2 linked regions of the Macaca fascicularis genome follow. The protein of the gene in region 2 purifies or fractionates together with the protein of the main gene of each other region. This does not show direct contact. Links are inferred from orthologs where the notes say so. Each region holds a gene or a part of one and is shown on either strand. Other genes may lie near its edges. The genes, in order: FBXW7 and NFKB2.

What was found.
Region 1: the proteins of NFKB2 (region 2) and FBXW7 purify together in Homo sapiens (affinity purification with mass spectrometry; 7 studies listed by BioGRID and IntAct, with this or other methods). This does not show direct contact. The link is inferred for Macaca fascicularis from reciprocal best matches to the Homo sapiens genes NFKB2 and FBXW7.

What each region holds. Positions count from the first base shown.
Region 1 is NC_088379.1:157,327,095-157,330,905, forward strand, and holds part of FBXW7 (F-box/WD repeat-containing protein 7), read right to left. Parts: intron 3,717-3,811; 5' UTR 3,648-3,716; coding exon 3,147-3,647; intron 1-3,146. UniProt on the Homo sapiens protein: Substrate recognition component of a SCF (SKP1-CUL1-F-box protein) E3 ubiquitin-protein ligase complex which mediates the ubiquitination and subsequent proteasomal degradation of target proteins.
Region 2 is NC_088383.1:111,402,277-111,406,865, reverse strand, and holds the start of NFKB2 (nuclear factor NF-kappa-B p100 subunit), read right to left. Parts: upstream 2,804-4,589; 5' UTR 2,698-2,803; intron 1,673-2,697; exon of another isoform or gene 1,541-1,672; intron 1,450-1,540; 5' UTR 1,378-1,449; coding exon 1,357-1,377; intron 1,086-1,356; coding exon 1,004-1,085; intron 888-1,003; coding exon 847-887; intron 608-846; coding exon 509-607; intron 433-508; coding exon 281-432; intron 26-280; coding exon 1-25. UniProt on the Homo sapiens protein: NF-kappa-B is a pleiotropic transcription factor present in almost all cell types and is the endpoint of a series of signal transduction events that are initiated by a vast array of stimuli related to many biological processes such as inflammation, immunity, differentiation, cell growth, tumorigenesis and apoptosis.

The sequences.
Region 1 (3,811 bases), on a different chromosome or scaffold from region 2:
CAAACACACTTCTCTTCATCAAAAGATCAGGATACCAGATCTGGCCTAATAATTGTCTCATTTGTTTTTCATGTTAGTAGAAAATTAGTTGATATCTGCATAAAATATGTCAAAGATTCTTCAATATGAGCTGGGCATCTCTTCAGAAAACAATTTTTAAAAAATATATATGATAAGGATGTTGACAAAGGAAGTAAAAACTGAAGAGACAGACATTTATATCTGGAGAACCAAGTTGACTCTAGAATTTACAGGCTAGTCAAATTTAGAGGAACAGCCAGCACACAACCTCTGCTTTAAAAGCATGTTTTATGGATTCGAGAGAGTATGACCTCTATCAGATTTTTTAATAGCGTCATTTCTTCCTGATTACTTTAGCCTTGAGCTGTAAAATCTTCAATAGTGTTTTGTTAAGTGCCACAAAGAAAAGTAGTTAACTGAGCTCTCTGTCCTTTCTATAGGGTAGCTCTGATCACTTCAAATGGGACACAGTATTAGAAAATCATCACACGCCAGAGTCTCTATGACTATATTGGAAATCTTGTTTAGTGATGTTTGTCATATTCTACCATAGGGGGCAGCATAGTACATGGAAAGAGAAAGGGGTTTTTTGCAATTAGGCAAATCAGGATTAAAATCTCTCATCACTTAGTGTGATCTGGGGTGGATCATTTGGCCTCTCTGTAACTTTTGTTTATGTATCTGTCATAGGATCTTTCAAACAGTGTGAGCTTAATAAATAGCAATTCTTGACTATCACTTCCCTTGACTTTTAACATTAAGACAGTATGGAATTTTTAACATATATTGCTTGCCATAAGGCTCCCAAAAGAACAAACCTTTAGTGACAAGGGGGGAAAAACTGTCCTCAGAGTTTTGACAGTTTTCAAAATGCTTTCAAAGAATAAAGCAATGCAAGGAAGAATTAAACATCTTTTTTTCTCATTAATATCATATTTGCTTATGCAGCATATTTAGGGATGATGGATAAAATTCAGTCTAGCTGTCCACAGGGTTTGTTTATGAGAACGTCAAAAAATAAAACTTGAAAGGTATCCTGAGTAAAATTTGTAGAAAGCTAATCCTATATTAACATTTAAAAATGGGATTTCATTTCTTATGCCTCTACTCTCAAAAGTCAAAGTTTAAGACTTGAATGAAACTATGGTCTAGGGTAACGTCTGTAGAAGTGTCTTAACTTTATAATGATCAAGAATTTAAAGCTCTTCCAAAATAAAGTACTTGAACTAGTGAGAGCTTCTATTTATTGTATTAAAACATCTACAGACGGAGAATATTGACATTTTCTTTTTAGGTAAAGCAGTACTAAGCGACTTTTCTAAATGCTGTTGAAAGTGCTCCGGGAATACTCTGGCAGAAGGGTTTTAGGAATGGACAAAAAGGAAAACATTTAGAAAAATTTCAGACTGAAATCGTACTTATAGAAGGGCATCACTGTCCTGGCAATCAAATAGCTTTGTATTCTTCATGCCATACTTATGAAGGCAAATCATCTCATGATCAACAATATATCAAAAAGTATACATACACACTTATATAATAAATGCATATACACATCTATATTGTACATGTGTATATATACAAATGCATACACACATCTATCCCTGCTATGGTTAGGGCCCAGTCCATTCTTGTTATCTTGCATGTACAAGAATAACTGTTATTCCTGATTCAGAATCACTAGGAAAAAAAACTAACAAATTCAGTATACTTCGTTTTTAAAGAGGTAATCATCACACACATAAAATTTCTGTTAATGATTTTATCTTGAAGGTAAAGAAAAGATGAAGTACCTGTCAAACTTGTGAACTGGAAGGTTTCCTACAGAATATAAGGATGACTTTTCCTTTTGGAAAAAGATAAAGTTTTGTCTAACTAGCTTTTTTTGCTTTTAATTTAAAGTGTAGCAGAAATCAGCAATAACTCTGCATTGTTCTGCAAGGCTTAGTTTTGATTGAACCTCTTTCTGAAATAAGATAATGCAATTGGAACTTAAATATTAAACCCCTATTCCTCTAACTGAACCCTCAGGAAAAAAAGAGCTGTATAAACTCCCTTTTGATATAGTAACCTTGAAGAAGGGGATTAAGACTGGGGGGACAGAAGGGAGGAATGACACTATATAAGGTCTGAGCCTTAACAAAGCAGTGTATAGTTGTTAGCGGTAGAGCCATCTGGCTGAGATCCAAAGCTACTGCTTCAACATCTTGAGACAGGGATGATACAATGGATGAAAAATCACTACTTGATGTCACGTCCTTCTTAGATCATGCTAGCTAAATATAATCTGACTTGCAGACAGGCTAGGTAAATTAGGGCCAAACACATTTTAGAAAGTCAAGGTTTTACAAGCAGATGTAAAACATGATTTAGCAATTCAACTATTATTAATCCAAGTGTGTAAGACACTTCATTCCAAGTCAAGTTAGGTTAAATGATATGATGTCAAATCAGTTAAATCAGTTTGTATATTGTTTATGGCCTAAAATCACTGTAAAATGTAAGAAATAAGCAAGTAGGAGTAAGAGGATGAACTACCACAGACATTATTTTAATGTCTATAAAACAAGTAAGCTATTATTCAAGTTAAAATGTTCCTTTCCAAAATATAGTTTAACTTGTAAGTCTATTCTACATGAATATCCACTATTTCTAATTCTCAAATGATAAATAACTAGAACTAATTTGAGGCAACTTTTGAGTAATTTATGCCTTAGAGTGACACTTGTAAATAGACAGCCCACTCCAGCAGCTGCATTTTGTAAATAAAAAGCTTCTTCATTACTTGATTTACACAAATCATATTTCACCCAAAACCTCTACACCCCACACAAGCTACTAATCCCTGCCCGGAACTCAAGGTTTAGACAAAAATTTGATGTTAATAACTTTTCATAGTAATAGGCTCAATTACTTTCCCTCCATTTGTACTCAGATTCTCCCATTATCAGTATTTCTACTTGTTAATACTTTCCAATACCTTCTGTAAAACAAAAAACTAGTTCATTTTATTATTACATATCTTAAGATTAATTTTTAGTAATACAAAGACTGAGAGGAAAGTTTCATTACTTAAAATAGGTATGTAAAGTTTCTCAAGTTAACAATATAATGAATATACTCACTTTTGTGGTTTTTGTATAGAATGGGGAGGAGAGCTGGTGAACGGGCAGGTCCACAATACTACTGGAGTTTGTGACACTGTTACTATGTGTATGTTCATCTTCTCTGCTACTATCATCAGACTGATCAAAATCATCACTCTCCTGGTCCATCTCCTCCTCCTCCTCATCCTCCTCATCTTGTTCACCAGCATGTTCTTCATCTTCCTCTTGTTCTTCTTGGTTTCCTGAGGAGTCCTCATCTACTGAAATAAATCTATTATTGTTTTCTTCCAATTGTCCTTGCTGGGAATCATTTTGGCCTCCAGGTCTAGGTTCTACTCCAACAACTTCACCATTCCTTGCAGTGTGCTCCTCCTCTTGTTGTCTAAGTTGCTGTTGCTGTTCCTCCTCTACCACACGATTCATCTGTTCTTCATCTACCTGGCTTGAGGAAGGGTTACCTCTCAGAGAGCCTCCAGTTCGTCGTCTTTTGCTGCCCACAGAGAGCAGTTCCTGATTCATTTCCAAAAGCCAGCTTGCTACTTCTTGGACCTTGGCTAGACTATCAGAAGATGCAAAGGTTTTCACATTCTGCAGGGGAAAATAGTGGAAAAAACAAGATTTGTACAATCTATATTATGTTCTACTTTCATGTTATATGTCTACATTCTAAATATCATTAATGA
Region 2 (4,589 bases):
GTGCAGGACACCCAGGTTGTTAAATCTGAGGAGACGGGAGAATCAGAGGCCTTTGGCTGTGCAGTTCTTTCTTCCTGAGGTGCCTTTCCCATTGTCAGGGCTCAGCTCAGCCCTACTTCCTCAAGGAAGCCATTGGAGTTTCTACTTGGGCCCTTGGGTTTGGGGCCAACCTACCTCTCTCCCCTTGGTCAGATGCTAAGCTCATGGAGGTGGGCTGGGGCTTAGGACTGGCAGAGAGTGAGGGGCATATCAGTGGGGGCCAGGGGTAGAGGGCACCTACTGGGCAGTCATGTCCTTGGGCCCCACAGAAACGGCGCAGATCCCCAGCTCCGAGCATTGCTTGCCCACCAGACTGTGGGCATGAGCACGAGGTGGGTCACTGTGTGTTACCAGGTCTACCTCGATCTTGGCTGGTCCCTCGTAGTTACAAATCTAGGAGAGGCAGGGACTGTCAGGGCCTTGGGCGTGCTGTCCACTTAGCCAACCCTCCAGCACCATCCTGGCTCACCTTGACAGTGGGATAGGTCTTTCGGCCCTTCTCACTGGAGGCACCGGGCAGTCCTCCGTGGGAGGGGCCTTCACAGCCATATCGAAATCGGAAGCCTCTCTGAAGGTCCAAGGGCAGAGTAGCATTATGATCAGGGAAGACCACCCCGGCCAGCAGTGACCACAGTGCCTGGTAGTATCTGCTCTGAACCACAACTACAGCACTCTGATCAGCAGCAGTGACCATCCAATCCCCTGTGGCCTCCTTGGGCAATGGCTCCTCCATGGCCTGCCAGCTACCACTACCCCATTTGTCCCCAAAGCTGAAGCCATTCCACACCCTCCCTTTTGCTTACTCACCTGCTTAGGCTGTTCCACGATCACCAGGTAGGGGCCATCAGCTGGGGACAGGGAGACCTTGCTTAGCCACTATCTCCCAGCCCTTCCCCCAGGCAGAAGGCACATGCTCTCCCTCCCCCTACCTTTAGGACTAGAGGAGGTTAGTGAACTTACTGACCTGTCTCTGGGGCTGGCTCCTTGGGTTCCATAATGGAGGAGTTCAATTTGAAATCATCATATTCAATAATGCCATCCAGACCCTGGTTTGGAGACAGACTGGGGGTGGCATCCAACTCTCAGCGCCCCCCACGGCCCCACCTCCCATCTCCAAGTCCTCAGTGGTCACTCCCCCTCCTCCTCAGGCCCAAGAGAAAGCTCCTTTTGGAGGCAGAGTTGTAGACAGATGGACAGACTGGTAGGCTGAGAGCATCTGCGAGCATGCAGGTGTATGGCAGCAGAGGGGGCTCGGGCAGACAGGTGGACAGACACGGGGGGCGGCCGGCCGGGTCAGGGGCAGGCAGCGTGACTCACTGGGTTGTAGCAACTCTCCATGTCTCTGGGCTAGGCCCGGCTCTGTCTAGTGGCTCCGGCCAGGTTCTGCTTCCCAGAATTTTAGGCGCCCGCCTAAAGTTGGGAGGAGTGGCGTGGGGGAGGGGGTCAGATCTAAATGGGGGTGGGCGGGAGATGGGGGCCCAGATTTGGGGGACGGTCCGACCTCCTCCAGCCGCCCGTCCGGGTGTGGCGGGTGAGATCCGGTGGAGAGCGAGATCCGGAGTTGGGCTTGGCCGGGGAAGGGGCAGGAAAGTTAGAGCAGCTTAGGAAAGTCCCGAAAATACCAAGGGGAGGCGGGGCCGGAGGGGGCGGGCCTGGAAATGACGCCAGTGGCCCCGCCCTCACGACGGGAGGGGCGGGAGGCCCTCGCCAGTCTGCGGGTTCCCGCTGCTTTTCAGCGGGTAGAGGGAGAGGAGAGTCAGGGGAGCCGCGGTGGGGGTTAAGCCCCCTCCTCCCTCCAGGGCAGGGAACAGGAGGGTCCCTCACGGCCGTGGGGAGGTTGGCAGTCTGGAGCCAAGTCCGCCTCCCGCTCCCCTCCCCCGGTCTGGAGCAACCTTGGGAATTTCTGCCAGGAGGGAGGCCACGGCTGATAAACCCGGGGGCTTTTGGGGGGACATTCCTGCTGTCTGATGGCCTCCCCTTCGAACAGCCTGTAGGCGGGGGCTCTTTCCTGTGGGAGGCCCCGGGGTTCTGCCCCGAGAACACGATTCTGGGGCCGCGGGAAAAGTGTCTTCTCCTCCGGCTCCTCTTTTTCCCAAACCTCGCAACAGTAGCTGGTTCCACACCGCACCGGCTCTGGGCACGCAGGCGACAGGGAGACCTCTGCACGCTCCCCACCCAATACAAGCGTGTGTCTCCATCACAGCTCCACAAGTGTGTTTCGGCTCTAGTGCTTGGGTGCATGTTGTGTGTCCATGGCGTCAACATGAGTGTGCAAGCGAGCATGTGTGTAGACAGGTGAGTCCTGAGCTTCTCAGTGTGGGTGTGTGTCAGCGCCTGTCTTGATGTACAGACACGGGTGAGCGTATCTTGAGTTTGTGCGTGAAGGGTGTGGGTGCAGGCACCAGTGCACCGGTGGGCACGTCTCCGTGTGCATGTGTGTGCGAGTGCGACTGCACGGACGCTGCCGTGTGTGCGCCAGCACAGGTACAGGTGTACGTACGGGTCCGTGTGTCTTTGTACAAGGATGTCGACGTGGATCTGAGTGTCGTTGCCTGCGCGCCGCTGCTGCTGCTCCAGCCCCCGGCGCTGTCCGCTAAAGGCCCTCCTCCCGCTCTTCTCTTGTCCCGGCCACCCAGGGGTCTGAACCCAGCCACTCACCGTGGCGGAGGCTCTGGTTGCGGCTTCTCTCCGCGCCCGACCCACCTGGGACCGGTCGCGACACCTCGCCGGCAAGCAGGGCTTGGGGCCGGGAAAGCCCCTTCTCGGCCCCCCGGAGGGGGGAATTCCCATGACGTTTCCGTGCGTCGCGCCTCGCGCCCTTTTTCATTGGCTGAAAGTTTAACTCTGGACTGGCGCAGCCAACCCGGAGCGACTCGGGCGCGCCCCTGAGAGGGGACAGGCTCACTCAGGGCAGGGAGCGGGGCGACAGGCCACCAGGCGCGACAGGCCACCAGCGGGGCGACAGGCCACTAGTTCGGCCAGCTAGGGGACCGCCGAGAAGGTACCCGCTGACCCAGCGCCACCTTGGGCCGGGAGCTTCCGCTGCAGCTCGGCTTTGGCTGCGCCTAATGCTTGACTTTCTCCGAAGCGGGGGAACCCCAGGGGGAAGCCGACGGCCCCAGCCCTCGGGGCCCCCACCCTGAGCGGCGGGCTGCCGGGAAGTTAGCGGAAGAGGAAGGAAGTTGCTTTTGCGGTCGGTCCCGGGCGCCCTCTGGCGGCCTTCATGAGGCCGCGAGGAGACTCCATTTGGCCCAGGCCCCTGTCTCGCTCTGTCTCATCAGCCTCAGGGTTCCGGGAGAGACAGTCCGGACCTCGGACTTTTATAGAAGTGATAGGTTCCCAGCGGGCCAGGACTCAGGAGCTCTGCGCAGGAGAAGGGAAATTAAGTGTTTATCCACCACGGAGATCTGGAATATTAGAACTGAAAAAGGCATCCAGAGTTTAAACAGCTCAAATTTCCACCGATGTGGGAAATCGCCTCTTTTTTTTTAGTCTCAGACTGGAATGCAGTGAGGCGCTTTTGGCTCACTGCAACCTCCGCCTCTTGGATTCAAACCATTCTCCTGCCGCAGCCTCCCGAGTATCTGGGATTACAGTGCCCACCACCAAGCCCGGCTAATTTATGTATTTTTAGTAGAGTTGGGGTTTCACCATGTTGGTCAGGCTAGTCTCGAACTCATGTCCTTAGGTGATCCGCTGGCCTCCGCCTTCCGAAACGTTGGGATTACAGTCGTGAGCCACCGCACACGGCCTATTTCATTTATTTATGTTTTTGAGACAGTGTCTCGCTCTGTCACCCAGGCCTGGAGTACAGTGGCGCGATCATGGCTCACTGCAACCTCGAACTCCGGGGTGCACTGATTCTCTCACTCTCCTGAGTAGCTGGGACTACAGGTGCACACCACCACACCTGGCAAATTTTTAAATTTTTAGTGGAGATGGATCTCACTACGTTGCCTAGGCTGGTCTTAAACTCCTGGGCTTAAGTGGTCCTCCTACTTTGGCCTTCCAAAATGCTTGGATTACAGACGTGAGCCACTGTGTCCTGCCAAATTGCCTCTTATAGACCTTCCAGTTTCCATCTGAACACTTCTAGAGGCAGTGAGGTCAGGACAGGAATTCACCAAGTATCGAGTACATGAGTGGACCTCTCTCTGGTCAGTAGCGTTTCTCCTTAGCAGGTGCCATGAGTAATCTCCATGCCTGGAGTCCTCCTCCCTTAGGCTTATGGTAGAACATAGGCTATCTGGGATCTTTCCTGCAGCTTGCCCCAGACGTTTTTAAGAACAGAATCACAGGCCTGCACTGGCACTAAGTAAAGAGAGACTATTATGGCTCTCGATTTGGGCTGTCTGTTTCCTATTACTTCCCCACCCCCCTTCATCTTGCCTGCAAATATAGTGTCCCAGGCACTAGGTTCGAGTACTTTAGAAGTTCTCATTCTCCCTCCCAACAACCCTAGGAGGTGAATATTACCTTTACTGATGAAGAAATCAAGGCTCAGAGAGGTGGAGTAACCAAACACACAGCTAGGAAGGGGCAGAGCCAGG